Linked DNA regions of Sus scrofa. The protein of the gene in region 7 interacts with the protein of the main gene of each other region in a pairwise test. Links are inferred from orthologs where the notes say so. Each region holds a gene or a part of one and is shown on either strand. Other genes may lie near its edges. The genes, in order: PLEKHN1, NCK2, GADD45G, TSSK3, EIF5A2, TSTD2 and REL.

Evidence for each region.
Region 1: the proteins of REL (region 7) and PLEKHN1 interact in binary tests that used the Homo sapiens proteins (3 or more experiments, as listed by UniProt). The two-hybrid records come from large-scale screens. The link is inferred for Sus scrofa from reciprocal best matches to the Homo sapiens genes REL and PLEKHN1.
Region 2: the proteins of REL (region 7) and NCK2 interact in binary tests that used the Homo sapiens proteins (3 or more experiments, as listed by UniProt). The two-hybrid records come from large-scale screens. The link is inferred for Sus scrofa from reciprocal best matches to the Homo sapiens genes REL and NCK2.
Region 3: the proteins of REL (region 7) and GADD45G interact in binary tests that used the Homo sapiens proteins (3 or more experiments, as listed by UniProt). The two-hybrid records come from large-scale screens. The link is inferred for Sus scrofa from reciprocal best matches to the Homo sapiens genes REL and GADD45G.
Region 4: the proteins of REL (region 7) and TSSK3 interact in binary tests that used the Homo sapiens proteins (3 or more experiments, as listed by UniProt). The two-hybrid records come from large-scale screens. The link is inferred for Sus scrofa from reciprocal best matches to the Homo sapiens genes REL and TSSK3.
Region 5: the proteins of REL (region 7) and EIF5A2 interact in binary tests that used the Homo sapiens proteins (3 or more experiments, as listed by UniProt). The two-hybrid records come from large-scale screens. The link is inferred for Sus scrofa from reciprocal best matches to the Homo sapiens genes REL and EIF5A2.
Region 6: the proteins of REL (region 7) and TSTD2 interact in binary tests that used the Homo sapiens proteins (3 or more experiments, as listed by UniProt). The two-hybrid records come from large-scale screens. The link is inferred for Sus scrofa from reciprocal best matches to the Homo sapiens genes REL and TSTD2.

Annotation. Positions count from the first base shown.
Region 1 is NC_010448.4:63,333,421-63,336,827, forward strand, and holds the end of PLEKHN1 (pleckstrin homology domain-containing family N member 1), read left to right. Parts: intron 1-92; coding exon 93-168; intron 169-286; coding exon 287-435; intron 436-572; coding exon 573-722; intron 723-892; coding exon 893-1,033; intron 1,034-1,201; coding exon 1,202-1,333; intron 1,334-1,504; coding exon 1,505-1,714; intron 1,715-1,960; coding exon 1,961-2,009; intron 2,010-2,091; coding exon 2,092-2,207; 3' UTR 2,208-2,720; downstream 2,721-3,407. UniProt on the Homo sapiens protein: Controls the stability of the leptin mRNA harboring an AU-rich element (ARE) in its 3' UTR, in cooperation with the RNA stabilizer ELAVL1.
Region 2 is NC_010445.4:49,106,265-49,111,172, forward strand, and holds the start of NCK2 (cytoplasmic protein NCK2), read right to left. Parts: upstream 2,917-4,908; coding exon 2,691-2,916; intron 1-2,690. UniProt on the Homo sapiens protein: Adapter protein which associates with tyrosine-phosphorylated growth factor receptors or their cellular substrates. Maintains low levels of EIF2S1 phosphorylation by promoting its dephosphorylation by PP1.
Region 3 is NC_010456.5:1,164,128-1,168,136, forward strand, and holds GADD45G (growth arrest and DNA damage-inducible protein GADD45 gamma), read left to right. Parts: upstream 1-1,872; 5' UTR 1,873-1,965; coding exon 1,966-2,018; intron 2,019-2,279; coding exon 2,280-2,381; intron 2,382-2,511; coding exon 2,512-2,725; intron 2,726-2,804; coding exon 2,805-2,915; 3' UTR 2,916-3,411; downstream 3,412-4,009. UniProt on the Homo sapiens protein: Involved in the regulation of growth and apoptosis. Mediates activation of stress-responsive MTK1/MEKK4 MAPKKK.
Region 4 is NC_010448.4:88,808,085-88,812,193, forward strand, and holds TSSK3 (testis-specific serine/threonine-protein kinase 3), read left to right. Parts: upstream 1-1,938; coding exon 1,939-2,083; exon of another isoform or gene 2,084-2,813; coding exon 2,814-3,475; downstream 3,476-4,109. Other genes in the region: protein FAM229A, read right to left, coding at 713-815, 995-1,141, 1,223-1,359. UniProt on the Homo sapiens protein: Serine/threonine protein kinase required for spermatid development and male fertility.
Region 5 is NC_010455.5:109,527,438-109,532,104, forward strand, and holds the start of EIF5A2 (eukaryotic translation initiation factor 5A-2), read right to left. Parts: upstream 3,014-4,667; 5' UTR 2,867-3,013; intron 2,196-2,866; 5' UTR 2,161-2,195; coding exon 1,996-2,160; intron 1,474-1,995; coding exon 1,369-1,473; intron 1-1,368. UniProt on the Homo sapiens protein: Translation factor that promotes translation elongation and termination, particularly upon ribosome stalling at specific amino acid sequence contexts.
Region 6 is NC_010443.5:239,489,903-239,494,704, forward strand, and holds the start of TSTD2 (thiosulfate sulfurtransferase/rhodanese-like domain-containing protein 2), read right to left. Parts: upstream 2,982-4,802; 5' UTR 2,617-2,981; exon of another isoform or gene 2,486-2,616; intron 1,650-2,485; exon of another isoform or gene 1,546-1,649; intron 1-1,545. Other genes in the region: NCBP1 (nuclear cap-binding protein subunit 1), read left to right, coding at 3,114-3,147.
Region 7 is NC_010445.4:80,873,936-80,878,048, forward strand, and holds part of REL (proto-oncogene c-Rel), read right to left. Parts: intron 3,193-4,113; coding exon 2,420-3,192; 3' UTR 1-2,419. UniProt on the Homo sapiens protein: Proto-oncogene that may play a role in differentiation and lymphopoiesis.

The DNA.
Region 1 (3,407 bases), on a different chromosome or scaffold from region 7:
GCACTACCTGGCTGCCCATGCAGCTCTGCGGGGCCCAGGCAGAGGCCTGGCTGGCTTCTCCTAAGGCCCCATCCTCCCTTGACGCCCCGCAGGGGGAGCTTCCACTCAGCGCCATCCACATCAACCTGGAGGAGAGGGAGAAACAGATCCGCTCGTTCCTGATCGAAGGTGGGCGGAGGCCAGGCCTGGGAGGAAGGGTGTGAGCCTGCTGGGTGGCCACCTCTGCACCGGGGCTTTGAGGGGGGCACCCTGCCTACCAGGCCCCCTCACGGCCTCCGTGTGCCAGGCCGTCTCATCAATACCATCCGTGTGGTGTGTGCCAGCTACGAGGACTATGGCCGTTGGCTGCTCTGCCTGCAGACTGTCTGCCACAAGGATGGGGCCTCCCTGCTGCCCGGCCCTGAGAGCTTCCCTGGGCTTCGGGCGCCCACACAGGTGAGGGGTTGGCAGCAGCGGGATGCTGCCCCACAGCTGGGGTCCCGGGCAGTGGTAGAAACAGGAGGATGGGTCTGGGCATGGGTACGTGGGGAGAGGTGCTGTCGGCTCACCCTCACCCACCACCGACTGCCCAGATTGTGGGTGGTGGCCAAGGCTCGCTCTCCTCGGATGGACGGACCAGCTGGGACTCAGGGTGCCTGGCGCCCGCCTCCACCTGCACCAGCCACTCCCTCCCTGAGTCCTTGGTGCCCTCTACCACAGACTGCCCTGCCCAGCTTGCACTGGTGAGTGTCTGGAGGGGAGTGGGCCGTGGAGGGAGAGGGGGAGCCCAACCCAACTAGGATCCTACCTCCTCAGGGGAGGGCACTTGGACTGCAGGGGCTCTGTGTAACCTCAGAGGGCTACGTGGGAGAGGGCCCCAGGGAAACTTTTGGAAATTTCTTGGTCCCCGCAGGAGCAAGCCAACCCTGACGGCACCAGTGTCAGTGGACACAGGGCAAAGCTGAGACGGGGCGGCAGCAGCCGATCACCCAGGAGCAAGGCGAGGGGCGAGGGGCCCAGCCCAGTCACCCCACTGCGCCTGGACCTGACCAAGGTGGGCCCAGCACAATGACCCTGGCTCTGGGCCTGCCTCTCCCTCCTGCCCGTCACCTTCCTGGCCTGTCTCGGTCCCGGAGCTACCCAGAGGCCTACAGCATGGAGCAGGGAGGGCTAGGCCACTTCCAGTTCCAGGAAACCTGTCGCATCTGTCTCTTGCCTGCAGCTAAGCCTGGAGGACAGCCTTGAGGCCCCGGGCCACTCTCTGGAGACACCACACTCCCCACTCTACGCTGATCCCTACACACCACCTGCCACTTCCCACCACAGGATCGCAGATGTCCGGGGCCTGGACAAGGTCAGTCCCCTGCTGGGTGACAGAAAGAGCTGGAAGTGCCCACAGCCGGAGGTTAGGAGGGTGCCTGAAGCCTGAGGTCTGCCCAGGCTGTTGTGAGAGGCTAAGGGGTTTCTGGGGCAGGGGTCCCTCAGCTGCTTGGAGGTCCTAGCCTGAGGTCTTGGTCACTGGCAGTTCCTCAGCGCAGTGCAGAGCTCACTCGGACCTGAGCCCTCGGGCCCATTCCCCGCCGGCCCGGGGTCGGTACCTGTCTCGGACCCCAGCTCTGGATTCTCCAGCCCCCACTCGCTCTCCGAGAAGGGAGCCCTGCAGTCCCGAGCCTCTCAGCGGCATCGTGGCTCCATCAAGGACCGGGGGCCCCGGCTCCCAGGCTCCCCTCAGCATGTGAGTAGCAGCCAGTCCGCCCCGCCCCAGGCAAGGGGTCCTGTTGGGAGAGGACGGAGCATGGAGCCTCCTGGGACCCTGAGGGAGCAGGAAAGATGGAAACGGGGAGAGCAGGTGGGCAGAGACCTATGCGCAGTCGCAAGATGGGGGCACTGGGGAGGAGGAAGGCCAAGGGGAGAAGGTGGGCTGGTCTTCAAGCCCCTTTTCCCAGGGCCCATCTCTGAGACTTGTGCTTGGGGTCCTCAGGTCTCCCCCGCCAGGGAAGCGTCCCCCCCGCCCCTGCCACCGCCCCCAGGTAAGTGAGGGCCCCGCCTCCTCCGGGGAGAGCTCTGGGTGTTGCTCCCTGCAGGCACATGCATCTCTGCCCTCCCCACCAGATGGCCACCCCTTCAGGAGCTACGACAGCATCCAGGACAAGGCCCTGTCACCTTCTCACCAGTGGTGGCCTCGAGGAGCACCTGAGGCTGATGAGGGGCTCGTCCAGTGGATCTGATGGCCCTCGGGTGGCTGCTTCTCAGGACCGCTTATCAGCATTGACTTTGGAGGAGGGTCTGCAGCAGGGCCTGGCTCTTTCTTTGTGAGGCTCAGGCATCCAGTATTGAGCCAGGATCTGGCCCCAGCAGGGTGGAGGGAGTCTCCAGAACCCTGAGCTTCCCTGAGCCCTGGAGGAGCCAGGAGGGCCCCATCCTCAGGACGCCTTGGCCAAGGTGACTGGATGCCCAGGGTGCCGTCCTCGGCCTGCCTCCCTGGGGAGGAAAGAGTGAGGGGACTTGGGTTAGGGGCTTTCACCTGGGAGAGGGAGGATGGCACAGGTGTAGCGGTCAGAGAACCAGGAAAGTCAGCTTAGAGAGGGTCCGCGTATGGGAGGTCAGAGGGCACGAGGGCCAGCAAGGTCTGAGACTAGGAGGGCAGAGGGAGGAAGGTTCTCTGGGAGCGTGGGAGTGGAATGGGTTCACCGGGAGAAACTGACAAGAGACCAAACAAGAAAGAAAGAGATTTTATTGGCGCCATGTGTCCACGTGTTCTGTCCTCAGCAGCCAGGAGTCTCCTGCGTCCTGGGGACCCTGTACGCCATGCTGCTTCGGGGCTGGATGCCCACCTAGCACCCAGCCTGGCAGACCCCCGTGCTCTACCACCACCAGCACACCACCCACTTTCCTGTCCCATCTCCAGCTCCTCTCAGACTTGGGACAATCCCAGGTTGTCCAGTCCCTCCCCCGATGCCATTGTCTTCTGCCTCAGCACTTGCTCAAGGGTTCCCTGGAGGAAGGACTCCAGGCTCTGCCCTACAGACCCCCACCCCACAGGGCACCTTAGGTACCTGCTCACCATCTTGGGCAGGAACCAAGGAGGCTTGACTGTACACCCCTGGGGTTCAAGGGTCAAGGCAGCCTCAGAGGCCTCCACTGGCCCAGCCCACTTACAAACAGGGCAGAGTCCCTGGGACATGGCCTCCTAGTCTCAAGGCCACCCAGCCTCCCTACCTTTGCCCCCTGCTCAGACCTCCAGCTGGGGCCTTGCTGCTGCTCTGAAGTCATCTAATTTCCCAGGCCCTGTCGTGCCCCTCCCCCCAACAAGATAACCAGATAGGACTAGGGTGCCAGTTAACTTTGGTTTCAGATAAACCACAACTAATTTCTTGGCATAAGTACATCTCAAATCCTGTGTGTCTGAGATTCAAATTTCACTGGAC
Region 2 (4,908 bases), about 32 Mb from region 7:
TAGCAATCTGTGTTCTCCAAAAATGGAATTGGCTGACTCTACACAAGGAGACGTGTTCCAGCAGAGCTGGGTGGCCATCTGTTGGGGCGGGGGTGGGGGGGAGCTGCCTGGCACCCAGCACGCGCATGCACTGGCTGAGCCAGGCCCCCTGAGTTCTAGAGTCCAGGGTATGCAGACACATGGGACTGACCACAGCTCATGAAAACCTGAACCCTAGAGAGAGGGGTGCTTCATCACTCAGCTGTCTTTTTGTTCTAAAAACCAAAGGAAAAAGTGACAAGCTGTTCAAAGGAATCTGGAGATAACGCGAGTGCCTGCTTTGTCTTAGGTTACTTCCTAGCATTCTGCTCAGTTTCTGGGCATTTCCTTCTTCTTTTCTTTTTTTTTCAGCCACGCCTGCGGCATGCAGAAGGTCCCAAGCCAGGAACTGAAAAGGGACTGAAGACATGCCACAGCAGTGACCGGAGCCACTGTAGTGACAATGCAAATCCTTTACCTGCTAGGCCACCAGGGAATTCCCTGAGTATTTCGTTCTTTACTAGAATCCTGAGAATAGATTTTTTTAAAAAACAGTAAGAATATAAGTCAACAATGTTCAGCATCTCCAAAAGCAGGTACTTCAGTGAATGAGAGGCTGAAATTGGAAAAAATAAATAAAATTATGTCAGGGCACTCAAAGTATTTACCTATTCATGCTTCTTTCTTTCTTTCTTTCTTTTTTTTTTTTCCTCGTCTTTTTAGGGCTGAACCTGTGGCATATGGAGGTTCCCAGGCTAGGGGTCGAATCAGAGCTACAGCTGCCAATCACAGCCACAGCCACAGCCACTCAGGATCCAAGCCATATCTGTGACCCACACCACATCTCATGGCAATGCCAGATCTTTAAACCACTGAGCAAGGCCAGGGATTGAACCCATGTCCTCATGGATGCTAGTTGGGTTCATTAACAACTGAGCCACGACGAGAACTCCTGCCTGCCTTTCCTTATAGTTAATGAAGAGTTATAAACACTGGACAACAATATTCTTCTCAAGTGACATGATCATCAAGAAAAAAAAAAAAGGATAAAAAAGATAAAAGGGTGTCAGATTTGTGAAAAATAATCAGCTTACTCATGAAAAACAGAATTTCTCCATCAGGCAGAACCTACAGTAGTCAGTGTGAATCACACACAGGACTATGTCTCATTTCTCCCTTCAAATTGTGGAAATAACCTAACATGTAACATAGAATTACTACCCAATGGATAAAGGCTCTAAATGGTTTCGATGAGAGCAGTGGATGCGTTCAGATTGCAGAAAAATGAAAGGTGGGTAGGTTGCAAGTCTTGTCACATGCAGAGTTTAACATTTTCTTTCTGGTTTTCCTACCTGTTCCCCTCCCGCAAATGAAACAAATTCTGTTAGAAATGAAAAGGTACTCTATCTAGTCACTTGTGATGGAGCATGACGGAGGATAATGTGAGAAAAAGAACATATATATGTATGTGTGACTGGGTCACTTTGCTGTACAGCAGAAAATTGACAGAACACTGTAAATCAGCTATAATGGAAAAAATAAAAATCATTAAAAAAAAAAAACATTATGAGACTACTGCCAAGTAGTCAAGAATAAAGTATCAACTTAAGTCATTTTGTCCCAGTGAACTTAATTGTGATGGACTTCTCCATCTGCCATAGCAAGAACTGCTTTCTTATTATTTAATACTCAATTTATTCAGCCTAAAGACTGGTTAGACATAATTTCTTATTATCAACTTAGATGCAATAACTAATTATTTATTCAATTATTTTTTTTTTAATTAAGGCACCTCTGTTATACCAACAACTGTGCCAAGATTGAGGACATGGCCATTAATAAAAATTAGGGGAAATCACACCAAAAAAACCAAAGAAATGAAAAGGAAAACCTCAAGGAAATGTCACGTGGGTGATAACACTCATGTTTTCAACCTCAAACTCTTCTGTGATAAGCAGTGGTCTCAGGTGGCAGGGCCCACGCTCTCACCCACACTCTGCAGCAGTAACTACTGTGCAGAAGTCTGATACCCACACTGAAGCAATACTGGACACCATCAATATCAGGGGATGCAGGTGGCCTTTCCCACGGCTGGATACCAGGGAGGGGAAACAGGATCGCAGGAAGAAAGCCGGGCAGATAGAGAGCCCCCACGAGTCACCCTGGTCAGCTGGCATCACACCGCCACTCCTGTCCCCACTTAGCTGGCACTGCCCAGGGCTGCAGTGTGAAATGCCACCAATTTAAAAGAGGGGAAAAGTTCACCTGGTTCAAAGCGCTTTTCGCTGTCTGCTTCTCTATGCACAAAAGCCACAGGTGCAGGATTCTGTGAGATGGAAAAGCTCTGGTGGAATGACACAGGTGGAGCTGTGGACATCCCTAGGGGATGGCAATTCCATCCCGGGACCCTCCAGAAAGTGGATGCCAGGAGACAGAAATGAGCAGGGGCCCCGGACACAGAAGGGTCCGCTCACATGGAACTCCAGATTCTAGAATCTCCAAGAAACGACACAGTGGATTTCTCCGCTGGATCTCTCCCCATTTCCAGAATTTCAGAAAAAGACACGAAGAAAGATGTTAATACTTAAAACATCCTTTTTTTTTTTTTTTCCTCTCCTACACCAACTAAAACGATGACCCCTCCTCCCTGCATCCCGAGAAAGGACACTCACCCAGTGTGTCCTTGAGGTTCCTCACGAGGGAGCCCTTCTTGAGGCTGTTCTTCCGCTCCACGTAGTTGGAAGGCACATAGCCCGTCCTGTTGGCCGCGTTCCGCACCCGCCACCATGTCTTGGAGTCGTCCAGCAGCCACAGGCGCTCGTTCTTCTTGATGTCCAGCTCCTGGTCCTGCTGGGCCGTGTAGTCCCACTTGGCTATCACGATGACTTCTTCTGTCATCTTTCATGGAGTCCTTCTGTCAGCAAAACAGGCGAGAGGCTCATTAGAGACCAAGCCAAAAGCTTCATCCTTTGTCCCCACTTGGAAGATGATGCCCTGACAGCTTTTAGTAAAAACTTGGCCACTGAATGTTGCCTGGGTCTCCAAATAACCTTCAGCGACCTTCCTTCAACACATGGGAATACTTGGTTTAGAAACGGCAGCCTCGTGAAACAAATCTTAAGTTTGCACACTAGGAATTCTGCATGCTCTGACAAAAACAAGCGGCAACCAAAAAAAACCTTCCAAGAGTTCTAGACAACCATACGAAAAGGAAACCTGCTTACAGGATGAAGGAACACCAGATCCTTCTGGCTGATCTCTTGATGCCTACTATCTAAGGATATGCTTAATTTTATGGACATATTTAATGGACATGACACACCCAAACTACAATGTGGTATCTTGGATTGCATCCTGAAATATAAACACTGGTAAAATCCAGATAAGTCTAGCCAACAGTGCCACTGACTAATTTTACCCCTGACTGTTTTGACGAAGGTCCCTAAACACCTAAGATGTTAGCACTAAGGAAAACTGAGTCCGGGATACCTGGGAAGGCTATCTTTGTACCTTCTTCCTTAAGTAAAAAAGCATTCCTGGAACCTGAAACACAGACGTTTATTGTAGCTTCACTCGCAATTGCCAAAATTTGGAAGCCATCAAGATGTCCTTTGGTAGATGAATGGAGAAACAAACTGTGGTACATCCAGAAAATGGACTATTATTCAGTGATTGAAAAGAAATGAGCTGTCAAGCCACAAAAAGACATGGAAAAACTTCCAGTGCTTATGGTCAAGTGAGAGAAGCCAATCTGAAAAGGCACAGACTGTATGACTGGCACAAAGACTCTGCTATTAGATCAAATGGTAGTCAGGCTCTTCTGATTTCTCTTCCCAAACGAGTTCGGTACTTGAGTCTGTCTTTGCAGTGCCCACTTTTAGCAAGAATCCTGCTAAGCTAGTTCAGCCAGGTGCCTCCACCCTTGCCCAAGTGGTGTCTGATCATCCCGGGCTGCTTTCAGGAGGGATCCTGTGAGGTCCATGTAGCCAGAACCCCCCTTAGCTCTGCTGGTTCCTCGTAGTGGTTGTGCATGCACCTGCTGCCCAACCTGCTGCCCAGCTATAAAGTCTCACTTCCCCTCCTGTATGTGGAATGGAGCCCAAACTCTCCCCCCCCCAACTGAGAAAACCCCTTATTGTACTCCCCCTAGTAAAGTCTGCTGGACTGGTCTTTAATGAGTGTCATTTTTTCTTTAATAATTCCAATGATGTGACATTCTGGAAATGGCAAAACTACGGAGATGTTACAAAGACCAGTGGTGGCCGGGAAAGGGGAGAAAGCAATGATGAGATGGAGTGCAGGCATTTTTAGAGCAGTGAAACGAAACAACTCCAAAGGATACTATAAGAGTGAGTATGTGTCACGACACACTTGTCAAGACCCATAAAACGTGGAATACTGGGAATAAAAGTATTGTAAAATCATGCCAAAATTCAATTATCTTTAAAACAAAAAACAGAGTATAGAGCATACTTAGTTAACTATGGAATTATCTATTATTAATAAATGGCTCAGGCATATCTGAATAACTAAAATGAGTACAGTTATAAGCTAGTTTCAGCAACTCCCTACTTCTCAGGTAGAAGCTGGACCAGTATTTTTCAGGCAGAAAAATTCAACATTCTGTCTTTTAAATGACTGGAAGTTTACTCAAAATGAGGAAGAAATGAATAATGGAAAGACTCCTGACTCCAACCCTCTCCTTTTCTGACAGAGAGGCACTCTCATTATTTACAGGATGACTTCAGGATGACAGCGGGGACCAGCGCACTGACTCTGTGAAGCATGAATTCCCATTTTTAAATAACATGACACTTCCTACCTGATGCTAAAGACACTTATAAATAATGCATGTTCTCCTCTTTCATGAATTAACCTCCAAATTTAGAG
Region 3 (4,009 bases), on a different chromosome or scaffold from region 7:
ATACATGTATACATTCTTTGTCTCACATTATCATGCTCCATCATAAGTGACTAGATATAGTTCTCAGTGCTATAAAAACAGTTTGAGTGTTTAATAATTTAATTAGAGCAATACCTAAGTCTCAATCACTTAAGAAAAAACACTTTATCCAATCAAGGCCCACCATCATTTTAAACACCACCAACAACGAACGAGAAGATACAGTAGCAAATAATCACCGCCTGATGCCGTCTGACTCCCGCTGTTATAAAACGCCTCGGATTTCAGGGATATGAGGTAAGCAAAGACCCAATTCTTGGCATCAGGAAGTGGCCTGCTTTCGCAGCTGTCCTCTGGCAGCTGGCCACCGGGTGGCGCAAAACGCCAGCGCACTCGGCTGTTTTTCTTACCCGTTATCTCCGGTCTTGCACCAGAGCCTGGGCTTCCAGCGAATTCACCCCGGCCCGCAAACAGTCCTGTCCAGTCTCTAAGGCCTCATCTAGAAAAGAGGGGCAATGGAATGCACCGCAGCACTGGTTTCAACGTAGAGCAGAGAGATGCAGACACCAAAAGTGATAAGTTGAGTGAGCGAAGGGTCTTTTCGTTTGTCCCCAACTCCTTCCGGCGTGGGTTTTGCAGCCTTTCTTCTGACTTCTGTTAATACGCAGCTTGGAGGGAGCTCAGCCGACCCTACCAGGGCAGCTCCTTGACCAGGAGGCTGCAGGCCAAGTCACTAGTGGTCAATGCAAGTGTAGGGGAGGGAGGTGGTCAGGATCTTTCCTGCCGGCCTGTAGATGGCGCTCCGGGAAAGATATTCCGAGCCGCGTTCCCCAAGCTCTAGGGGCCTGGAGCCAAGGGGTCCGGGCTGAGCGCAGCCGGCTGTGTAAATGGTGCAGCAGCCAGGTGTTCCTTCCAACTGCCACCGCTGTTCCGCACGTGTGCAAGGACCCGGTGGGGCGGAATTACATGCAAACGTGCCGCTGGTGCAGCAGGGCCTGTGCGGGGGTGGGGGTGGGGAGCCGCGCACCGAGGAGGGCAGGAGCGGCACGCGGCCCCGACCCCCACGCGCCAGGCAGCCCGGCGACCCCCACGAGCGGCAGGGCCCTACCCACCCCACCCAGCGGCAGGTGGACAGTGTCGCTATGAAGAGAAAGCTTCGATTGTCCCTCCCACAAACCGCCACACGCCAGACCTCCGCTATTGTGCGTCCTCCATAGAAATGCAAACGAGCCGCGTGCGCCGGCCGCAATCTGCTCGGGAGCCCCGGCGCCCCGCAGCGCTCTGCAGAGGGCGGGGAGCTCGGGTGGGACTTTCCAGCGCGACGGGGTCGGAGCCTTGATTCTGCAGGGAGAACCTCGCATTCCGGGCCCTAGTGTCAGGTGGAGGGAGCTGCGCCCGGGCCTTTTGCAAGCTTAAAGCCAGGACTGTGTGTTTTTAAGTTCCGCTTTAAAAGCTACTGTCTCATAAACTCCAAATTAAGAGTAAAGAAAAAATAGAAAGGTAACAACAAAAATAAATGCAAAAATAAATTCATTAGATTCTCCAACGGTGCATTTCACAAATTGCAGCGTACTATTAGCTAGCAAGGGTTTGGCTTTTTTTTTTTTTTTAAACTTTTCCCTTTTAAAGACTTAAAAACAAAAAGGCTAGATGAAATCTGCAGGCTCCAGGCTGCCTGGTAACACCCCGACAAAAGCAGCAGATTTGAGGCATTGTCATCCCCCGCACCCCTCCCCACGTGGCCTTCTGGCACGAGCCGCCGGCCGCCGCCTCATTTGCATCAGAAAGCGGGCGCCGGCCAATGGGCGCGCAGGCTTGCGCCAGCTGGCGGCGCCGAAGACCCAGCCTATATAAAGGCGCGCGGCGGGACCCGGGCTCACTCGCTGGCGGTGGGCACGCCGAGCAGAGCTGCGGGCTGATCTCTCTTCGCTCGCGTCCGCTCCGCCCTCTGCTTTTGTGGATAACTTGCTGCTTGCGGATCGCAACATGACTCTGGAAGAAGTTCGCGGCCAGGATACGGTTCCAGAAAGCACGGCCAGGTAAGTCCGCGCTGAGCGCCGAACGTCTCAGGGCTCCGGGATCCTGGTCCTGCCCTGGCCGCGGCTGGTTGGGCGCAGTCTTCGAAACCTTCCGGGGTGGGGGTCCGCTGGGTAGAAGTCAGGCCCAAGTGTTTCCGCTGGGCTGGGGGTGCGGCACTGGGCTGGAGCGCCGGAGTCGGGCGCCGGGGGTGCCTCCCAGGGCTCGGGGGTCCTGGCTCACCCTCCGGCCTGTCCACGCTCATGGCGGTGGCTCCTCCACAGGATGCAGGGCGCCGGGAAAGCACTGCACGAGCTGTTGCTGTCGGCGCAGCGACAGGGCTGCCTCACCGCCGGCGTCTACGAGTCCGCCAAAGTCCTGAATGTGTGAGTATAGACGCGGTCCGGGCGAGGCGGCCGGGGGCGGGCAGAGCGGCAAGGGAGACCGGGGAGAAGGCGGCACGGGGCACCCGGGGCACACCGATCTGACCTCTTCACCTCCTTCTCGCTCGCGCAGGGACCCCGACAACGTGACCTTTTGCGTGCTGGCTGCTGACGAGGAAGACGAGGGCGACATTGCGCTGCAAATTCACTTCACTTTGATCCAGGCGTTCTGCTGTGAGAACGACATCGACATCGTGCGTGTGGGCGATGTACAGCGGCTGGCGGCGATCGTGGGCACCGGTGACGAGGCGGGCACGCCGGGAGACCTGCATTGCATCCTCATTTCGGTGAGTGTCGCCTCCATCCCGATGTCATCCCTGCCCTTGCCAGCGGCCAGCCCGGTTGACCTCTGGACTCTCTTCGCAGAACCCCAATGAGGACGCGTGGAAGGACCCCGCCTTGGAGAAGCTCAGCCTGTTCTGCGAGGAGAGTCGCAGCGTCAACGACTGGGTGCCCAATATCACCCTCCCCGAGTGACAGCCCGGCGGGGGTCTTGGTCTGATCGACGTGGTAACGCCCCGGGGCGCCTAGCGCGGGGCTGGCTCTGTGGATGCGCCCTAGGAGGGCGCCCGAGTGCGGCGTGGAGACTGGCAGGCGCCGGCGCGTGGAGAGCGGCGAGGAGGTGCGGCTCCCTCCCGAGGAGGGGCCCGGCGGCGACAGGGGCAGGCTGGCCCCAGCCCAGGACTCTACAAGTGTGGGGAGCGGTTGCTCGCCCAGGAAGGCCGGAGGCGGGACGTTGGCCGCGCGGCCGGGAAGGACAGACTGGCCGGGCAGGCGTGACTCAGCAGCCTGTGCTCCCGGCAGAAAGGAGGGGAAAGGCAAGGCCAGGAGGCCTGGACTTGTACAGTAACAGAAGCTCTGACGGACTTAGCAGTAGGCACTGCTGTTTCAAAACGGATCCGGGCGATGCTTCGTTTTCTAAAGGATTATGCTGCTGCAGCGTTGAGTCTTACAATAAACTTACTGAAAAAAACTTAACTCTCTTTATTGAGGGCAGGGGATCTTTGTCTGAGGGGAAGGTGGTTAGCGGGATTGCTGACGATTTCTGAAATTCCCGGAACTCGCTGGCACCTGTTCCATCTTCCTGTTAGGGCTGAATTACAGGCTCCCGGGGTGCTCGAAGTGGGGGAGGGGGCGTTGGCTGGGTGTTAGCAGAACTTGAGCCGTGCCCTCCTCTCCCTTTAGGAAGATTTTTACACTCGCAAGATAGGAGCATACTTGGGATAAGCCATCAGTGCAGCAGCTGGCCATCCAACCTGATAACGGAGGCCTTTCCTTTCCCTCCCCTCCTCCTTCTCTCCCCTCTGCCCCCTCCCTTCCAACAGCTGCTTATCGAACAGCTTGCAGGATGCAGGCAGCTCCTTCCTGTGCAATGAGCATTGCCTTCTGCAGGGGCTGCCCTTTGTGGTCCCTGAGGATGGCGGCAGACTGCTCTGAGGAACCTTTTTATCTCAAAGGGATGGCGCTTAGAGCAATGTCACCAAGGTATTAATATCGCATATGACATGATGACTGCATTTGCGTGTGAGTCATCATTTTGTCATGGCTGTGATAGAACTTAAAAAGATCTT
Region 4 (4,109 bases), on a different chromosome or scaffold from region 7:
GCTGAGCCACTACAGGAACTCCAAAAATTGAAGTTTTTAAAATGACTTCTTCCCCAGTCTCTTCCGTTCCCACCAGCCCTAGGATAAATGATGGGGCACCCCTAACCTCTCCAACAAAGCCAGAGTTGCTCAGGGTCACAAAACAGTCGGTAGCAAAACAAAACTCCATCTTTAGTTCTTGGGAGAACTAAATGGGTCTGGTGTGAGTGGCCATTCTCTTTATTCTAAGTTGTCTGTCTACCCCTTCCAGTCCCAAGCTTCTCTAGGCCCCCGGAGCCCAGCACAGTTATGCTAATTTTACTGGAGAACCAAGGAGAGTGTTGGGGAGGACGCGAGGCAGAGAGGCTAGAGCACAAAGGCCGCGCCATAAGGGGTCATGAATAGCAAGGAACGGTTTTGGCGCCCAGCAAGCAGAAGGCGGACCGGGAAAGGCGGGCCCCTGGGGTTGGGTCCAAGGGGGTAGACAGCAGAAGGTAAGGTGCTATTGGATGAGGCTGAGCAGCCGGCGCGCCTGGTCCGACGGGATAGACAGACACGGCCAGCCCGGAGTGAAAAGAACAGTTTATGCTGTGCTTTATTAAAATGTGCATCATTCTTTTATTTAAAAATGTGCATCACTGTCTCGTGCTCGGCGCGCGCGACCTCAGCGTGGTGGCCCGCGGCGGGCCTTGTCCCCGCCCGGCTCCCGCCGAGCCGTCGTGCGCAGGCGCACTCAGGTGGCGCGGGCCCGGGGGCTCCCGCCCATGGCCAGGTAGACGTCGATGGGCACGTGCAGCAGCGTCAGGCAGTGGCAACCGGGGCAGCGTCGAAGCGGCCTAGGGAAAAGCGGGGTGTGACAGGGGCCGCTGAGGCGGAGGCCCGCCTATCCTGTTGGGATGGCGTCTAGGAGTGCACTTGGGGTCCCCGAGGTTCGGGCGTGGATGTGGTACCTTATATGGGGCGGGGTCGGTCTAGGGACGGAAGGTGGGGCGGCAAGGAGGGGCGCCGGCCTTACCTGACCGGGTTGTGCTCCGTAGCTACAGGCTCCGGGCTGTCCTGGGACTCAGGGGCGGCGGCAAGGCCGGGGGAGTCTCCAGCCTCAATGGGGAATCTTCGACCCTGAGGGGGCTCCTGGGCACTCATGTCCAGGCCCCGGGGCGCTCTGCGCGGGGAGTAGCGGTCAGGCCGCTACCGGGCAGCTGGGCTCCCCCACCCGGCGCCCGCCCCTTGGGCTGTTGCTCACCTGCCGGAGGCCGAGACCGGTCCCAGGCCGGAAGCAGCTGCCCGAGCCCTGGCCACGGGAGGACGCTCCGGTCCAGGCGGATCCGGGCAGGTGTCTGCTGCGCGTCCGTTCCCGGGCGTCGAAGGGGAAGGCTGCATTGTGACCCGGGCCGAGGCGCGGTGACCTCATAGAACCCGTTCCTCCGGCCAGGGAACCTCACGCTGCCCGGGCACTTAGCGGGGTGGCGAGCCAAGAGCTGGAGGGCTCATGCCATGGGTCGCACAGACCCCGAGCTGCCCTATGGGGGCACAGGAGGCGGCGTCCGCCGAAAGGAGCCTGGCATCCTGGGCTGCGCGCAGACCCCTGGAGCGCCCCCCACAGGCGGGGCCGCGAGCGACTCACTGCCTGGCGCGGGGTCGGGGCGCAGCAGTGACTGAACCCGGACAGGGTTTGGTGGTGGTGGTGGTGAGGGCAGATAGGAGCATTGCTCATTTTGGCCAAGAGTCACACATCATTTACATCACAATTAGGCCAGAGTTTTAAAATGTCTGGCCCTCTCCCTCCCCACCACCTGCGGCTGCTGTCTCCAGACGGAGAATGCTTTAGCCCTGGGGGCGGCTGCGGATGAAGTCCTTGGGGGGAAAAGGAGCGGGCCAAGGGCGATGGTGGAGTAGAGCTGCCTCGCAGAGGCAGCATGAGCTGAGAGGGTAATAGGAAGGAAGGAGGTGTTAGACAGCATGGAGGACTTTCTGCTCTCCAATGGGTACCAGCTGGGCAAGACCATTGGGGAAGGGACCTACTCAAAAGTCAAGGAAGCAGTTTCCAAAAAACACCAAAGAAAAGTGGCAATTAAAATTATAGACAAGATGGGAGGGCCAGAAGGTGAGCTGGGGGCCCTTTGGAGGAAGGGAGGGCTGGCTGAAGTGGGTGGGCGCTTCCTCCAGTCAGAAGGACCATTTCCTCCTTCTCTTTGATCTGAAACCAAGGAAAGCAAGGGAGTGTGGCTCTGGGGTAGGTCAGTGGGGAACAGAGGAATGCTGGGTGTCAAGGACAATCACACCCTCCAAAGTCCAAGATTAAATCTGCAGGAGGTAGAAGGATCCTCAGAAACAGAATCCAAGCCCACCAGGGCTTTCCTATTCCAGGACGGGAAGAGACTGGAAGGCTGTGGCCAGGACTAGCAGAGGGCAGGAGTGGGGCCAAGGAAGGTAGAGACTGGGAAAAGACAGGGCTTATGGAAAGAACTGTGACTCAGGAGTCAGAGGTGAGAGGAGCTGGCTCACCACGCTGTGGGCAATCAGGCCTCACAAAAGATTCAACAGCTTTGTCTAAAAAGTCTCCAAAGCATTTTGATATCCACGGTCTCACAGGCTGCTCACAACGGTCCCTGAGGCTGACAGGGAACAGTTCCTCTGAATAATATATTAGCTACAAAAACAACAGGGGTGAACATTCTTTGCAGTGTCCAAATAGCTGGATGTTAAAGGCTGTGCAAGGGAACCAAGGCACAAGACCCAGACATGGTGGGCCAGAGCTGGAAGGCAGGAGTCAGGAGAGGAGTTCTAGGCCCTTCTGGACTTGACACTCCTTCTCTTTTCCCTTGTGTCCTTAGAGTTTATCCAGAGATTCCTGCCTCGGGAGCTCCAGATTGTCCGTACCCTGGACCACAAGAACATCATTCAAGTGTATGAGATGCTGGAGTCTGCTGACGGGAAAATCTACCTGGTAATGGAGCTGGCTGAAGGAGGGGATGTCTTTGACTGCGTGCTGAATGGAGGGCCACTGCCTGAAAGCCGGGCCAGGGCCCTCTTCCGTCAGATGGTCGAGGCCATCCGCTACTGCCATGGCTGTGGTGTGGCCCACCGGGACCTCAAATGCGAGAACGCCTTGTTGCAGGGTTTCAACCTGAAGCTGACAGACTTTGGCTTCGCCAAGGTGTTGCCCAAGTCATGCCGGGAGCTGAGCCAGACCTTCTGCGGCAGCACAGCCTATGCCGCCCCCGAGGTACTGCAGGGTATTCCCCACGATAGCAAGAAAGGGGACATCTGGAGCATGGGCGTGGTCCTGTACGTCATGCTCTGTGCCAGCCTACCTTTTGATGACACAGACATCCCCAAGATGCTGTGGCAGCAGCAGAAAGGGGTGTCCTTCCCCACTCATCTGGGCATCTCAGCCGAATGCCAGGACTTGCTGAAGCGGCTCCTGGAACCAGACATGACCCTCCGGCCTTCAATTGAAGAAGTTAGTTGGCATCCATGGCTAGCAAGCACTTGATAAAAGCAATGGCAAGTCCTCCCCAATAAAGCAGGGGGAGAAAGCAAACCCAAAAACCCGCTTCTAAAATGTTGATATATATTTTACACTTTAAGTTTACTTATCCTAAATCTTACCTATACCCTCCCCAGCCTTACTTCTCTTTCCCTTTAAAGATCTTCATGGAACGAGAGGGCCTCATTCAGACTTCCCTTTTATTACGGCTGACAAGTGATTTTCATACCGGTGTTTAACTAAAGTTAATTAAAAACAGTCCCCAGAATCATACACGTACAGGGGGAGGACAGGAGAAAAATGACCAAGAGCAACTGAAAAAACTGTTGTTGCAACTTCCTTTCCAAATAAAAGCAGAAGCGTTGGGAATGCAGAACAGCCTCTTGACTCCTTGTCTTGGTGAGAGGCCTGCTGGGGGCTTGGCCCTTCCTCATCCCAAAGGCCGAGCCGAGTCTGGGATGAGGACAAGGGACTTCCTCAGGACCCAGGCTACCTCCCACCACAACCCTCCCCCAGGCTCTAAGTAGGAAGCCACCCTGCTCTGGCTCTAGGCAGTTGCTGTGGGGACAAGAACAGACCCCCAGACACTTTCCAGCTTCTGTTGAATCTCTTTAATGCTGTTAACGGCAAATCTGGAAAA
Region 5 (4,667 bases), on a different chromosome or scaffold from region 7:
CATCCATGAGGATGCAGGTTCAATCCCTGGCCTCGCTCAGTGGGTTAAGGATCTGGTGTTGCCGTGAGCTGTGGTGTAGGTCGTAGATGTGGCTTAGATCCCATGTTGCCGTGTCTGTGGTGTAGGCCGATGGCTACAGCTCCGATTAGACCCTTAGCCTGGGAACCTCCATATACCCAGGGGTGCAGCCCTAAAAAGACAAAAAAAAAAAAAAAAAAAAAAAAAATTATACAACACAGTATAAGGTATAGAAAGAAATCAGCTTAAATTGGATAAAACAAATCTGAGTATTACACTTGTATATTTCACTGTGTAAAATGAATAGAAAAGAGTTCAATACAAGATAAAAAAATTGAAGACTTTCAAGATTAATCTGAGCTCCCACATCCTATGAGGTCAGTGGTTTAGTTACCAAGAATACTCCAAACAAGAAAGTGCTATCATTAAATATGACTTATCCAAATGTATAACTGTAACTAAAAATTGCAGTTTATACACATAATTTAACCAAAGGTCACAGCACGGTCATGGAACATAAATAAAACAATTACAAAGTTTTTGTATTTTCGGATTTCCCATAGTGGCTTGGTAGTTAACGAATCTGACTAGGAACCATGAGGTTTCAGGTTCGATCCCTGGCCTTGCTCAGTGGGTTAGGGATCTGGTGTTGCCGTAAGCTGTGGTGTGGGTAGTAGACACAGCTTGGATCCCATGTTGCTATTGCTGTGGCTCAGGCGTAGGCCAGCAGCTACAGTTCCAATTGGACCCCCAGCCTGGGAGCCTCCATGTGCTGCATGTGCGGCCCTAGAAAAGGCAAAAAGACAAAAAAACCCAAAAAACAGAGTTTTTGTATTTTCTTCACCATATTCAGTGACGCTATATTTTATACACTTTCAACTAATTTCCCCATTTAAGAACACCAAATTCTGACACACATTCATTAATATGCACAAACTTGGTCGGCAGAAGATGAATTCCAATAATTTCTTGAGCACCTGAAGTCTGATAAGTGAAAAGAAATACCCAGGAGGGAGTTATCTAAACTTGAAATAATTTATAACAAAGAGAATAGTAATTTTAATAAACACTGGACTAACAATAGGGAGTCAGTCACTTGATCTGAGAAACAATGATTGTTCGAATTTTAAAAAATGCAAGAATGTTTAAAAATGCAGACTAGCTATCATCCTAGTTAAGGTACAGGTGTTAAATATTACTATTTCTCCAATCTTCTATGGTAAGTGGTACCTAATAATTGGTTAGAAAAACCTACAAAACTACTTGTGGGTTTTATTAAATTACAATGGCAGTAGAAAGTATCTGCACCTTGAGGACATGAATAGTATTCTAAAGGAAATTAGTACTTACTTGATAATCATTTCTCTTAATATTTGGAACATCCATGTTGTGAGTGGAAGGGCAAATATCTTCATACTTTTTGCCAGTGAAAATATCAATTCCAACAAGGTGAACCTAACAGAGAAAGGAGAACAGGAAACCTGTTTAATCTTTGCCAAGATATCACTCATTACATACACAGGAGCATAATACCAGCACTGATTATGACAGATTCTTTCACCTTCCAAGGTCATCTAATTTTACTTTCTTAAAAAAAAAAATGTAGTGGCATACAACTGAGAAGCAGTGAACAACTAAAGAATATCATGACATATCAAGACCCAATATCATATAGTCTAATAATTCAGTCATAAGAATGCTTAAGAAAAATGAAGTTAGGTTCCTTAGAATGATGTTAGGTTTTTTCATTTGTAAACTAAATAGACTAAGTTACTAGGATTCAGGAAAGTTTCAGTTTACAGTTAATGAAACATTATAAGAGCCGAAGAAGGAAATATTACCTTTCAGTATTCAAATAGCTAATCACCCAGTAACTATGGGATATTAAACAATTATAAGTACAGAAAACTCATGTTCTGTAATGGAATACAAATAATCAAAATCCCAACCCCGAGATAGACCTGAAAGGGCATTTACCTTGGCATGACCGTGCTTTCCAGTTTTGGAAGTTGACATCTCCACTATTTTGCATGGTCGACCTTTGAGCACCACGAAGCCGTTTTTGCGCAGGGCCGAACACTGCATAGGGTAAGTGCTGGAAGCTCCAGCATCTCCAGTAGTGAAATCAATTTCATCCGCCATGGTGGGCTGGGAAGATGGTTGCTTTTCTGAGGGAACTATGCAAAAAGTTTGTTTGCTTTTTAACAACTGGCATGCAGGCAGGGAAACCCCTCATTTCGGGTTTCCAAGCATTATGGGTCTATTATTTTTGCATTTATAGAACACCCACCCAGAAGAGTAGGGACTTTCTAACTCTGGCCTTACAAACTTTTCCATCCTCTGGTAGGGAGGTGGGAGGGAAGTCGAAGAAAAGCTGGCTGTGGATGGGGAATCCCCGCCTTGGGCGCTCACCCGCGCTGAGGGCAGCAAATCCCGGCCCCCACAGTCCCATCGCAGAAGAAGCTGGCGACCTTCCCGCACTGTGCCGCGCAGTCTGGCCCTCCGCAGCCGCCCGGATCCCCACTGTGGGGGGGCCCAGCCCAGGCCGCACGTCCCCGCGAAGGATGGGGATAACAGCACCTGGCCAGCAGCACTTGGCCCTCGGGCAGCGTGTGCGCACTTCTCCTCCCAGCCCGCAGCGCCGTCACCTCGACCTCTCAGACGCCCCCTGTCCTGCCAGCATCCCCGGCCCGGTCCCGCACGGGCCTGAGCCCTGGCGGGTCCCGCGCTCGCCTCGGTCCCCCATCCATCCTTCCTTTTTTCCTCGGTTGGGGCTGGGCTCTGGCCGGCTTCTTCTGCCCTGCCTCGCTCCGGTCCCGGCCCCACCAGCCTTTCCCCTATTCTTCACCTTTCAGCCGGGAAAGAGTGCCTTTTGCCTGCGCACCGGTGCGGGTCCCCCACAGCTGCGGCGGCGGCAGCTGTGGCGGCCGCCGCAGTTCCAAGAGACGGGGCGGGGCCGTCACACTTTCCACACCCCGGCCTCCCCGCCCTTTCCCGCCCCCACCTCAGCTCCACTTCCGGGATAGGTCCCGGCGCGTCATAGGCACCGCCCTCTCGCGCTACCATTGGCTACATGGTTCCCGAGGGCCCGCCCAGTCACGTGAAGAGCGACCTGGCAACCCCACGTGCTGCGGATTAGTGCACTTCCGGCGTGAAGAGCACTTTCTGGAGTTCGGTTGTTGAGGGTAAACACGCCGGCAAGGAAACTTGTTCCCTCAAACTTTTGAGTTCTTTGCGTTGGCGTCTCAGTTGAAGTTAAGGAGAACCAAGCCACGCGCTCCGTGGCCTTTGCCCTCAGGTGCCAGGCGGTTGTCACGTGACAGCTGTCAGACTTCGCGAGGCTTGATAATTCAATGGTTATCCCTTGTGGCTGTGGAGGGAACTTTGGGTTCCCATTTCTGGCCCAACTTGCAGCCCTTCTTGGCTTTCAAAACCATGCTTCTTCCTTGGGGAAGAGCCAATGTAGTCTACCTGGCCCCCACTGCAGGCTGTGCGGGTGACCCCAGCCACCCATGATGAGGTTCTGGCAGCCACTGCCACTGGTGCCCCGCCTGGATCAGCAGCGCTCTGGCGGGGCAGGGGAAGAGGAGGCTGAGACGTCCAAGAACTAAAAAGCTGTGGAATGACCTAACTCACTTCTCACACCGGACGCTGTTGCGGAGTTTTGGAGGCAAATGAGTGTCAGATTCCTACTGCGTTATCCAGCAGAAAGATGTTCTTGCCAAACTCAGCTCTTCCTTCGTCCTGGAATTGCCTTCCTTCAAGTCTGAGGTGTGTCCATACCTCATTAGAGCAGTTTGGTTTGTCTTGGAATCAACGTGGTACCAATAGCGACTTGAATAGGATTAGGACGAAGATTCTTTTTTTTTTTTTTTTTTTTTTTTTTTTGTCTTTTTGCCATTTCTTGGGCCGCTCCTGCGGCATATGGAGGTTCCCAGGCTAGGGGTCGAATCGGAGCTGCAGCCACTGGCCTACTCCAGAGCCACAGCAACGTGGGATCGGAGCCGCGTCTGCAACCTACACCACAGCTCAAGGCAACGCCGGATCGTTAACCCACTGAGCAAGGGCGGGGACCAAACCCGCAACCGCATGGTTCCTAGTCGGATTCGTTAACCACTGCGCCACGACGGGAACTCCAGGACGAAGATTCTTAAAAAGAGATGTGTTCTGGAGTTCCCATCGTGGCGCAGTGGTTAACGAATCCGACTAGGAACCATGCGGTTGCGGGTTTGGTCCCCGCCCTTGCTCAGTGGGTTAACGATCCGGCATTGCAGTGAGCTGTGGTAAACGTTGCAGACGCGGCTGGGATCCCATGTTGCTGTGGCTCTGGCATAGGCCAGTGGCTACAGCTCTGATTGAACCCCTAGCCTGGGAACCTCCACATGCCGCGGGAGTGGCCCTAGAAAAGACCAAAAAAAAAAAAAAAAAAAAGAGATGTGTTCTCCTATTCTCAGTGGTTTCACAGTGAAACAGAGTCCATCACATTCTCTTGCCTCGGAGAGGTGACCTTTACACCTTCTTTTATGTGGTGCTGTGATTTTGTATTGCTGTGGTTTACACAGACATTTCACACATGTTGTCCAGTCTAATCTTTACACTGGCTAACATATGGAAGAGCCAGACTAGAACCTGGTTCATGAGTCCACTCT
Region 6 (4,802 bases), on a different chromosome or scaffold from region 7:
GTAGATCGGAGACGTGGCTTGGATCCCATGTTGCTGTGGCGGTGGTGTAGGCAGGCAGCTACAGCTCCGATTGGAACCCTAGCCTGGGAACCTCCATATGCTGCAGGTGTGGCCCTAGAGAAGGCAAAAGACAAATAAATAAATAAAAACATGAAAGTATCAATGCTAAGAACTGCTCCTTTGTTGGGAATCCTCCTTACTAACATCCCTACCTCTAAATGTTCACTTGCTCTATCTATACTCAACTTTGAGGTAATCCTCATCTAGTTCCAAGAATTGATCAACTATATTTACTTCAGAAAAGTTGAGCAAGGGGAAGTAGGAGAGGTGAAAGCAGATTGGCCATTAGTTGGTAACTGCTGAAGCTGGTTGATAAAGTACATGGGAGTTCCTTTTATAATTTCCTCTACTTCTGTAAATATTTGAAGCTTCCATGAAAAATTAAAAAAGGGTAACAATCATAAATAAAGGAAATTTTATATTTAGAAGACTATACAGTAAATGACTCCAAACTTCTATCTCCAGGCTAGATTCTCCTCTGAACTGCAAGTTCACATAACCAACTGTCTACTGGATGGCTTCAGCTGGAGAGCCAGGAGACTGTTCAAATGCAACTGTCAAAACCAAACCATTAGGGAGTTCCCATTGTGGCTCAGTGGTAACAAACCCGACTAGAATCCATGAGGACACAGGTTCAATTCCTGGTCTTGCTCAGTGGGTTAAGGATCTGGCACTGCTGTGAGCTGCAGTGTAGGCCACTGATGTGGCTTGGATCCCACGATGCTGTGGCATAGGCCAGCAGGTACAGCTCTGAATTGACCCCTAGCCTGGGAACTTCCATATGCTGCAGATAGGGCCTTAAAAATAATAAAATAAAAAACAGGAGTTCCCATCGAGGCTCGGCAGAAATGAATCTGACTAGTATCCATGAGGATACAGGTTCCATCCCCAGCCTGCTCAGTGGGTTAAGGATCTGGCGTTGCCATGAGCTATGGTATGGGTCACAGACGCAGCTTGGATCCTGCATTGCTGTGGCTGTAGTGCAGGCCATTGGCTGCAGCTCCAATTTGACCCTTAGCCTGGGAACCTCCATGTGCCCTCAAAAGACAAAAAATAAATAATAAACAATAAACCAAACTATTAGAAAGAAAAAAAAAATCCAGCTCTTAACTTGCTCTCCTTGTCTTCCTCACCTCTGTAAACAACAATTCCATTCTTCCTGTTACTCAGGAAAAAACTTTGGGATTCTTGTCTCCTCACTCTTTCAGAGTATTGAAAATCCTGTCAATTCTGCTTTTGAAATATAATCACATCAGATGACACTGCACTACCTTCCCTACCAACCCCACTTAAGCAACCATTATTTCTTGCATGAATTATTGCAATTGCCTAACTGCCCTTCTCCCGTAAGAGCAAGAGGGGTGACTTTAAAAATAAGTCAGATCTCTCCCTCCAAAGGCTTTTAAAGGCATCAGATAAAGTCCAAGGTTCTTATAAAGCCTTTCCCACCACACCCTAATCGCATCTTTTTCTATTTTTGCCCACCACCTCTGACTGCAGTTTGCTGGATTCCTCAACCGGTCATCAGCACTGAGAAAGCAGGGGTTTTCCTTCGTTCACCTCAGCCTCCTCAATGTCTAGAACACTGCCTGGCACATAATAAATACAATATTTGTGGTATGGAGTAAAAGGTTGGGTGGCCAGGGAAGGATTCCTAAGGGGGCTGATGCTTGAGCTGGGACTGAAATGCCAAGGAGCCATCCATGCATACTTAAGGGTAGAAATCTTCAGGCAAAGGAATATAAATGCCTAAAGGGTGAACAAGCTTGCCTTACTGGAGGTACAGGAAGAAAGTAAGAATTGTTGGAGCATAGTGATAAAAGAGTAGGACCCTGTAGGTCAGGTTACTTTACATCGCAAAGTCATGAGAGAGTAGTAAAAAAGGAGTAACTGATTCCAGATCGGTTTTGAAAGTAGAGCTGATAAGGTTTACTGATAGTTCATTAGGTAGTAAGTAAGGAGCCAAGAATGACTCCTACCTACATTTTTGGATTAAGCAATCGGATGGATGCGTAAAAGTGAAGGAGCAATAGGTTAGGCTAGGTTAGGCTAGGAGAATGAAAGGTTCATTTCACGCGTGTGAAATTTCAAATGGCCATCGACAAAGCAGATAAGCAGCCGTGGTGTTCACCACAGAGGTCAGGGCGGAGAATATTCACATACACATAATGGAAGTATCCAATAACCACTGGAAACATTACTAAAGCGATCAACAACTCAGAGGGGCGAGAGGTCAGACGACGGTCAGAAGCTAACCGCAGAGCAGCAAGCTCAAGCTAGGCAGGGTCTTTCGGTCCCCAGAGCTGCTCGAGCGGCGCCGCTTCCCGCTTGGGCCCCACCCCGCGCGCCGGGCCTGGCCCAATCTCTCCTCCCAGCTTTCCCGAGTCGGCAGAGGCCCGGAAGTGGGAGAAAGATGAGCACGTACCCGCCAGTCCAGATCCTTTCTTAGATCTTTCTTCACCAAACCGTCTCCGCCTAGCAATTGTCACCTCTCACCACCCTTGCACCTCCAGCCCCCGCCCCTGTTTACGTAGGAAGGAACGCCGGGGACCTCACCTCGCCCCGGAAGTCTAGGCCGTTAGCGAAAGGGCCGCCGGGAAAACCACTGAGAGGCCCGGGGGGGAGTCTGAAGTGGAGGGAGTCTGAACTAGAGCGTCCCTCCTAGACCACCCCCGCCAAGGCGTGGCTCGCGGCCTGCGGGCTCCGGCCGCCTGGGGAGGCGGTGCTCTCCGCGTGGCCCCGGAAGGACTTCCCGCGGAGGCGGGCGAAGGAAGCAGCGGAGAGGCGGAGGCAGCCCGAGGGGGCGGTTGCGTGCGGACGAGGCGGCAGTGGCTTGGTGAGGTTCCAGACGCCGGCTCTCCGGGATCCGAGCCCGCCGAGCCCACCCGGCCACTTCTCCCCCTTGCGCTTCCGGGAGCCGTCGCGAGCGAGTGCGCCTGCGCGCGGGCCACTTCGTGAGCCTCGCCGCTGTCCTCGCGCCGGCCGGCTGCCCGACGGTTCCTGCCGCTCTTCCCGCCCGGCGTCTAGGCTCCGCCGCATACACAACGTGCGGCATGTCACGGCGGCGGCACAGCGACGAGAACGATGGTGAGTGCTCTGGGCCTGGCCGCCGAAGCCGCGCCCAGGTGGGGCCGAGGTTTGGCTTCTTCGGTCTTCAGGTCCTGAGCGAAGGGACGGGAAGCCCTTCCCCCAGGAACTTGCGGGGAGATGGGTGGCACAGCGGGAGTGTGGCTGGGCGACTGCTGGAAAGCTCGTGCTATCCCCCACCGCACCTCTTGAGTCGTCGGCGGAGGGGAGGCCTGGTGCACCCCTGGTCTCTAAGCACTCTTTAAGATAAGGTCCTTGGTACCGCCGAGCAGGGAAGTATATTTGTGTCTGTGCCGCTTCCCCTTAGAGACGGTGACCAGGACTCACTTGTCCCAGTGTCTCGTTTTGACCCTCAAACATCATGTATTAATGGCTCTCGGAAGGTGAGAGATCTGATGAATTGCAATCCCAGCTCTCCTGTGCGGGTCATCCGGGGTTTTGCCTTCTTTCAAACCACTGGGGAAGAAAAATCAGCTTCTTATCCGCACGCGAGAAGTCTTTAATAAATAGATATACGTAGGTCGTTATGTTAGATCTTGAATTGGTTGTAAGCTTATTTCTCTCGTTTAAGAAAAGAATGCCAGAAGACTCACTAGAGAGCTCGTAGAGGTTAGATCGGGGTTCCCATTTGGATATTTGCACTCATGGGGATCCTGGAATTGCCGTCATAGAAACCAGGAATAATTTAGCTAGTTAAAAATAGGAAACGATGCTTACATTAAAAAAACAACAGTCAAGAATACACATCTAGAAAAGCAAAAAGAAACTAAAAATAATTTAGTTATTAATACTTGAAAATAGTGTTGTAAAGTGGTTAAGAGGCCAGACTTTGGAGACAGAGGGTTTAAGTTCAAAGTTAGACCTTGCCATTTATTTTGTGATCTTGCCCAGATTATATCACCTCTTTAAACCTTAGTCTGTAGTATTGGATTAATGATACATGCCTGTTCTTGGTTTTGTGAGGATTAACATATGTAACTAATTGCTCATGATGATATGTATTTTATCATCTGTTAATGCTTAAGAATTGATAAGCATTGGCAGATGTCAACGATGTAGGAAAAAAATACGGATCAAAAAGTTGGATTTAATTAATTTTCTCCACTTATATTTTTCTCTCCTTGAATGTTGGGGCACTCGAGGGTAGGAACCAAATCCCACCTACTTAATTTTAACAATGAAATATCAGTTTTCTGCTAGGACATGGCTTGAGAGGATAGTCTAGTCCAGTCTTGTCACCTGACACCTAAGGGTCTAGATTTAGTATAATTAATGGAGATGGCTGTGCCCAGACACAGGTGAAAGCAAATCCAAGGTTCTTTTTGCTACACATGTATAGTAGGCTGCATGCTTTGATTTTTTTTTTTTTAATCACAGGAGGCTTCTTGTATAATGTACATACAGAGCACAGAAAATAGTCTTCATGTGCTTTGCATTTGATTAATTAAAAACCTAAATCTCCTAGAAGTCATCACTTGGTATTTGGAGAACTTGAGTCTAAATTTAAAGTTGTTCCCATTTTCTTTGCTCTTCTTGTGCTTTTTTTTCTCTTCTCCCTTCTAGGGCATTCCTAAAAGGAGAGGGAGTGTTTCCAAAGGACAGCCTGGAGAATTCGATGTGAATATGTAGTTTGGTTATTGGGATGCTAGCATAAC
Region 7 (4,113 bases):
ATTGTTTTGGGTAGTATGGCCATTTTAATGATATTAATTCTTACAATCCAGGAGCATGGAATATCGTTCCATTTCCTTGAATCCTCTTTAATTTCTTTGATTAATGTTCTATAGTTCTCAGCATGTAAGTCTTTGACCTCCTTGGTCAGGTTTATTCCCAGGTATTTAATTTTTGGGGGTGTGATTTTAAAAGCTATTGTATTTTTGTATTCCTTTTCTAATATTTCATTGTTAGTATACAGAAATGCCACTGATTTCTGAATATTAATCTTGTGCTACTTTGCTGAATTTGTTGATCAGTTCAAGCAGTTTTTGTGTGGAGTCCTTAGGGTTTTCTATATGTAGTATCACGTCATCTGCATACAGTGATAATTTTACTTCTCCTCTTCCAATTTGGATATCTTTTATTTCTTTTGTTTGTCTGGTTGTTGTGACCAGGACTTCCAATACTATGTTGAATAAAGTGGTGAGAGTGGGCATCCTTGTTTCAGATTTTAGTGGAAAAAGGCTTTCAGCTTTTCTCCATTGAGTATTTGCTGTGGATTTGTCATAAATGGCTTTTATTATATCAAGGTATGTTCCCTCTCAATTTGGCATTTTAAAGAAATTTTTATTTACATGTAAATCTAGGAAACTCCAAGAAGCCTCAGAAAACCCCTTAGGGGTCACCTTGGCCCATGGGCCTCAAAAATAATAAGGAATTAATTTTTCCAATGGCATAGCCATTACAGGTTTTACCTTCAATTTGCTTAAAAGCAAATATGAATTAGTTCACTTAACTAAGAATATATTAATACATCATAAAAGAAGTATAAAAGAGTGCTCAGGGGAGTTCCCATAATGGCTCAGTGGTAACTAATCTGACTAGTATCCATGGGGACACAGGTTTGATCCCTCGCCTTGCTTAGTGGGTTAAGGATCCTGCATTGCTGTGCCTGTGGTATAGGCCAGCAGCTGCAGCTTTGATTCAACCCCTAGCATGGGAACTTCCATATGCCCTAAAAAGCAAAAAACAAACAAACAAACAAAAAAACCTCCCCAAAAATAAATAAAAATTAAAATTAAAAAACCAAAAAAGTGTACCTGGAAAAACATTATAGCCTTGCTATAATGTTCTCAGTCTGTCTTGCGAAAAAGTGACAGGACTCTCAAGACAATTCCCACCACACACAGAATGAGATCACATGTCTTCAAAAGGAAAAAAAAAAAAAATAATAAAAGAAGAAATAGTAAAGCCCTTTTAAATTTCTATTTTGGAAAATTTTCCTTTTGTGACTGTTTCCAACTTTGTATTCTGCATACCAAGAGTATATACAGGTTTAAAGGGGGGGTTTTTTGGCCATACTCATAGCACACGGAAGTTCCCAGGCCAGAGACGGAACCCGAGCCATAGCAGTGACAATGCTGAGTCCTTAACCACTAGGCCACCAGGAAATTCCCAGTTTAATTGTATGTAGGATTCCACAATGCATCACAGCCTAGGAGTTCGGTCTGTGTGGATTTATCTACTTTTGAAGCAAAAGTCTTCTGTAAATGCTGGACAAATTTTTCTAGCTCTTCCTGAAAGTGGGAAATGAGTTCATCTCCCTTTTTAAGCTGCAGCTTCAAGCACTGAGAATTCATCTTTCATTTTATCTCGACAAATTCTCTGCCAGCAAAACAAGAAGCTCCCAAGCCAAGACTGCCTGTTAGAGCAATCCATCCTCTACATACCTAAAGTTATAATTACAGTTGACCCTTGAACAACACAGGGGTTGGGGCACTGAGCCTCTGTACAGTGGAAAATCCATGTTTAACTTTAAAACTCTACAGATGGCCTCCTGTCTCTGCAATTCTGCATCCATGAATTCAGCCCGTCTCAAATCGTGTAGTACTGCAGTACTTGAACAGTAAAAAAAAAATCTGTGTACTGCACAATGGACCACACAGTTCAAACATGTGTTGTTCAAGATACTATTCCCTCTGATAAATATGTTTTTGAACTATCATCCCTAAAACATAACCAAAAAACTCCCTTGTGTCACAGTTGTAGTCAGAGAAATATAAAATTTTGCATCTACATAGATAAAATCAAAATGGTGACAACCTTTAAAGAGATTGAATTCTTTTTTTAGAAGTTTCCTTTATTTTGTTTTTTATTTTTAAAATTTTTATGGCCGCACCCACGGCATATGGAAGTTCCCAGGCTAGGGGTCGAACTGGCGCTCAAGCTGCCAGCCCATGCCCCAGCAAAGTGAGATCCAAACCACGTCTGCAACCTACATGGAAGCTTGTGGCAATACCAAATCCTTAACCCACTGAGCAAGGCCTGGGATTGAACCTGCATCATCATGGACACTGGTCAGGTTCATTTTCACTGAGCCACAATGGGAACTCCAAGAGATTTAATTAATTCACCATTTAAATCTTACAAGTTAACCTAAAAAAACTCAAATGCAAATGAGTCACTCAATTGTTCATTCTGCGTAGTGCCAATACCTGAATACTGACTATTTTGAACAAAACCATGACTGTTTGGATTAGTACTGTTTGATGGTCCTGACTCGTTTATCATACTGTTATCTGCACAATTAAAGTCAGATCCCTCAAATGCCTCTGACTGGGAAACAAAAGCAGTAGTACTGGAGCTGGTGACTGTTGACATACTGGAAGACGACATCTGATGGAGCTGTCTCAAGTCTCTTGGGTCTAACACTGAATTACAGGAAGGGTTTTCAAGATTCACGCTCACAAGTCTCGGATTATCAGTCTCCCTCATGCTGTCGTTACTGGGCGTTATCATGTTCACAGGACAATGAGGCAGCATGCTGGCATCAGAAATACCATATAAGTCAGCTGGTGACACAGACGATGCTTCCATTCTGCCTATGTCATTTGTATTATTATAAATGCAAGCATTAGAAGTATTCAGATCATTCATAACAGGCATTTCCAGGAATGGCGTGATAACATGTGAATTAGAGGAAAGGGTCCCTGGTGAGAAACCACTCAGTGAATTTGTATTGACTGAGCGTGAGGTGGGGCGGGCCACTGATGACCAGCTTGAAGAAGGCTGAGGTACCATTGTGGGTATGGTTGAAGCAGGATGTGACAATGCACTTGAGATGGATGAGGAATAGTAGGATTCTGCTTGACTTGAAACTGGCCTGGATGTTTCTGTCAAAACTGCACCATGAGAAAACAAGTTTGATTCTGTGGGAGATGAAATGTATTTTTACAAAACTGAAATGAACGAAATTATTAAAAGTATTATTTCTAAATTAAAATTACATAAACACACTAAAAATTTTCAAGGAAATTAATGTAACATTTCAAATAAAAATGGTAACTATTACAGGAGTCCAGAATTGACTTCTCTAATGCTTATTGTTTCACAAATACCTATAAAATGATTTTGGTTATTTTGGCATAGAAAATTTCATTCCAGTTAATTGTGAAAATATAATTTCCAAGGTCCTATAAAGGTATTTTGGGAGTTCCTGTCGTGGCGCATTGGAAACGAATCTGACTAGGAACCGTGAGGTTGCAGGTTCGATCCCTGGCCTCTCTCAGTGGGTTAAGGATCTGGCGCTGTCATGAGCTGTGGTGTAGGTCACAGATGCGGCTCAGATCCTGTGTTGCTGCAGCTATGGTGTAGGCTGGCAGCTGTAGCTCCGATGAGACCCCTAGCCTGGAAACCTCCATATGCCACAAGTGTGGCCGTAAAAAGCAAAAAAAAAAAAAAAGGTATTTTTGAACTGTGAAAGATAAATATCAGAATTTCAGTTAATGGGTCTCCAAAGAGTAAAAGTCATTTCATATTCTCCAGTTTTAGGAGAACAACTGAGGGACGGAGGAAACATTCATTATCGTGATTGAAAAATCCACATAAATTTCTAAGCTATAGTAAGATATAACTCACTCTAAGGCACTACAAAATTCCCAGACAGAAAAAAAATGAATGAATTATCATTAACATTGTAAAACTATACTTTAATAAAACTTTAAATAAAAAATGGAGTCTGTATTTATTTACATGTTATATGACTGCTGTGCATATTAAACTAAGAAAAAGTACTGATTTAAGAATATAAAAAAGAAGAAAAGATTTCTAATTAACCCTAGCAGAATGAT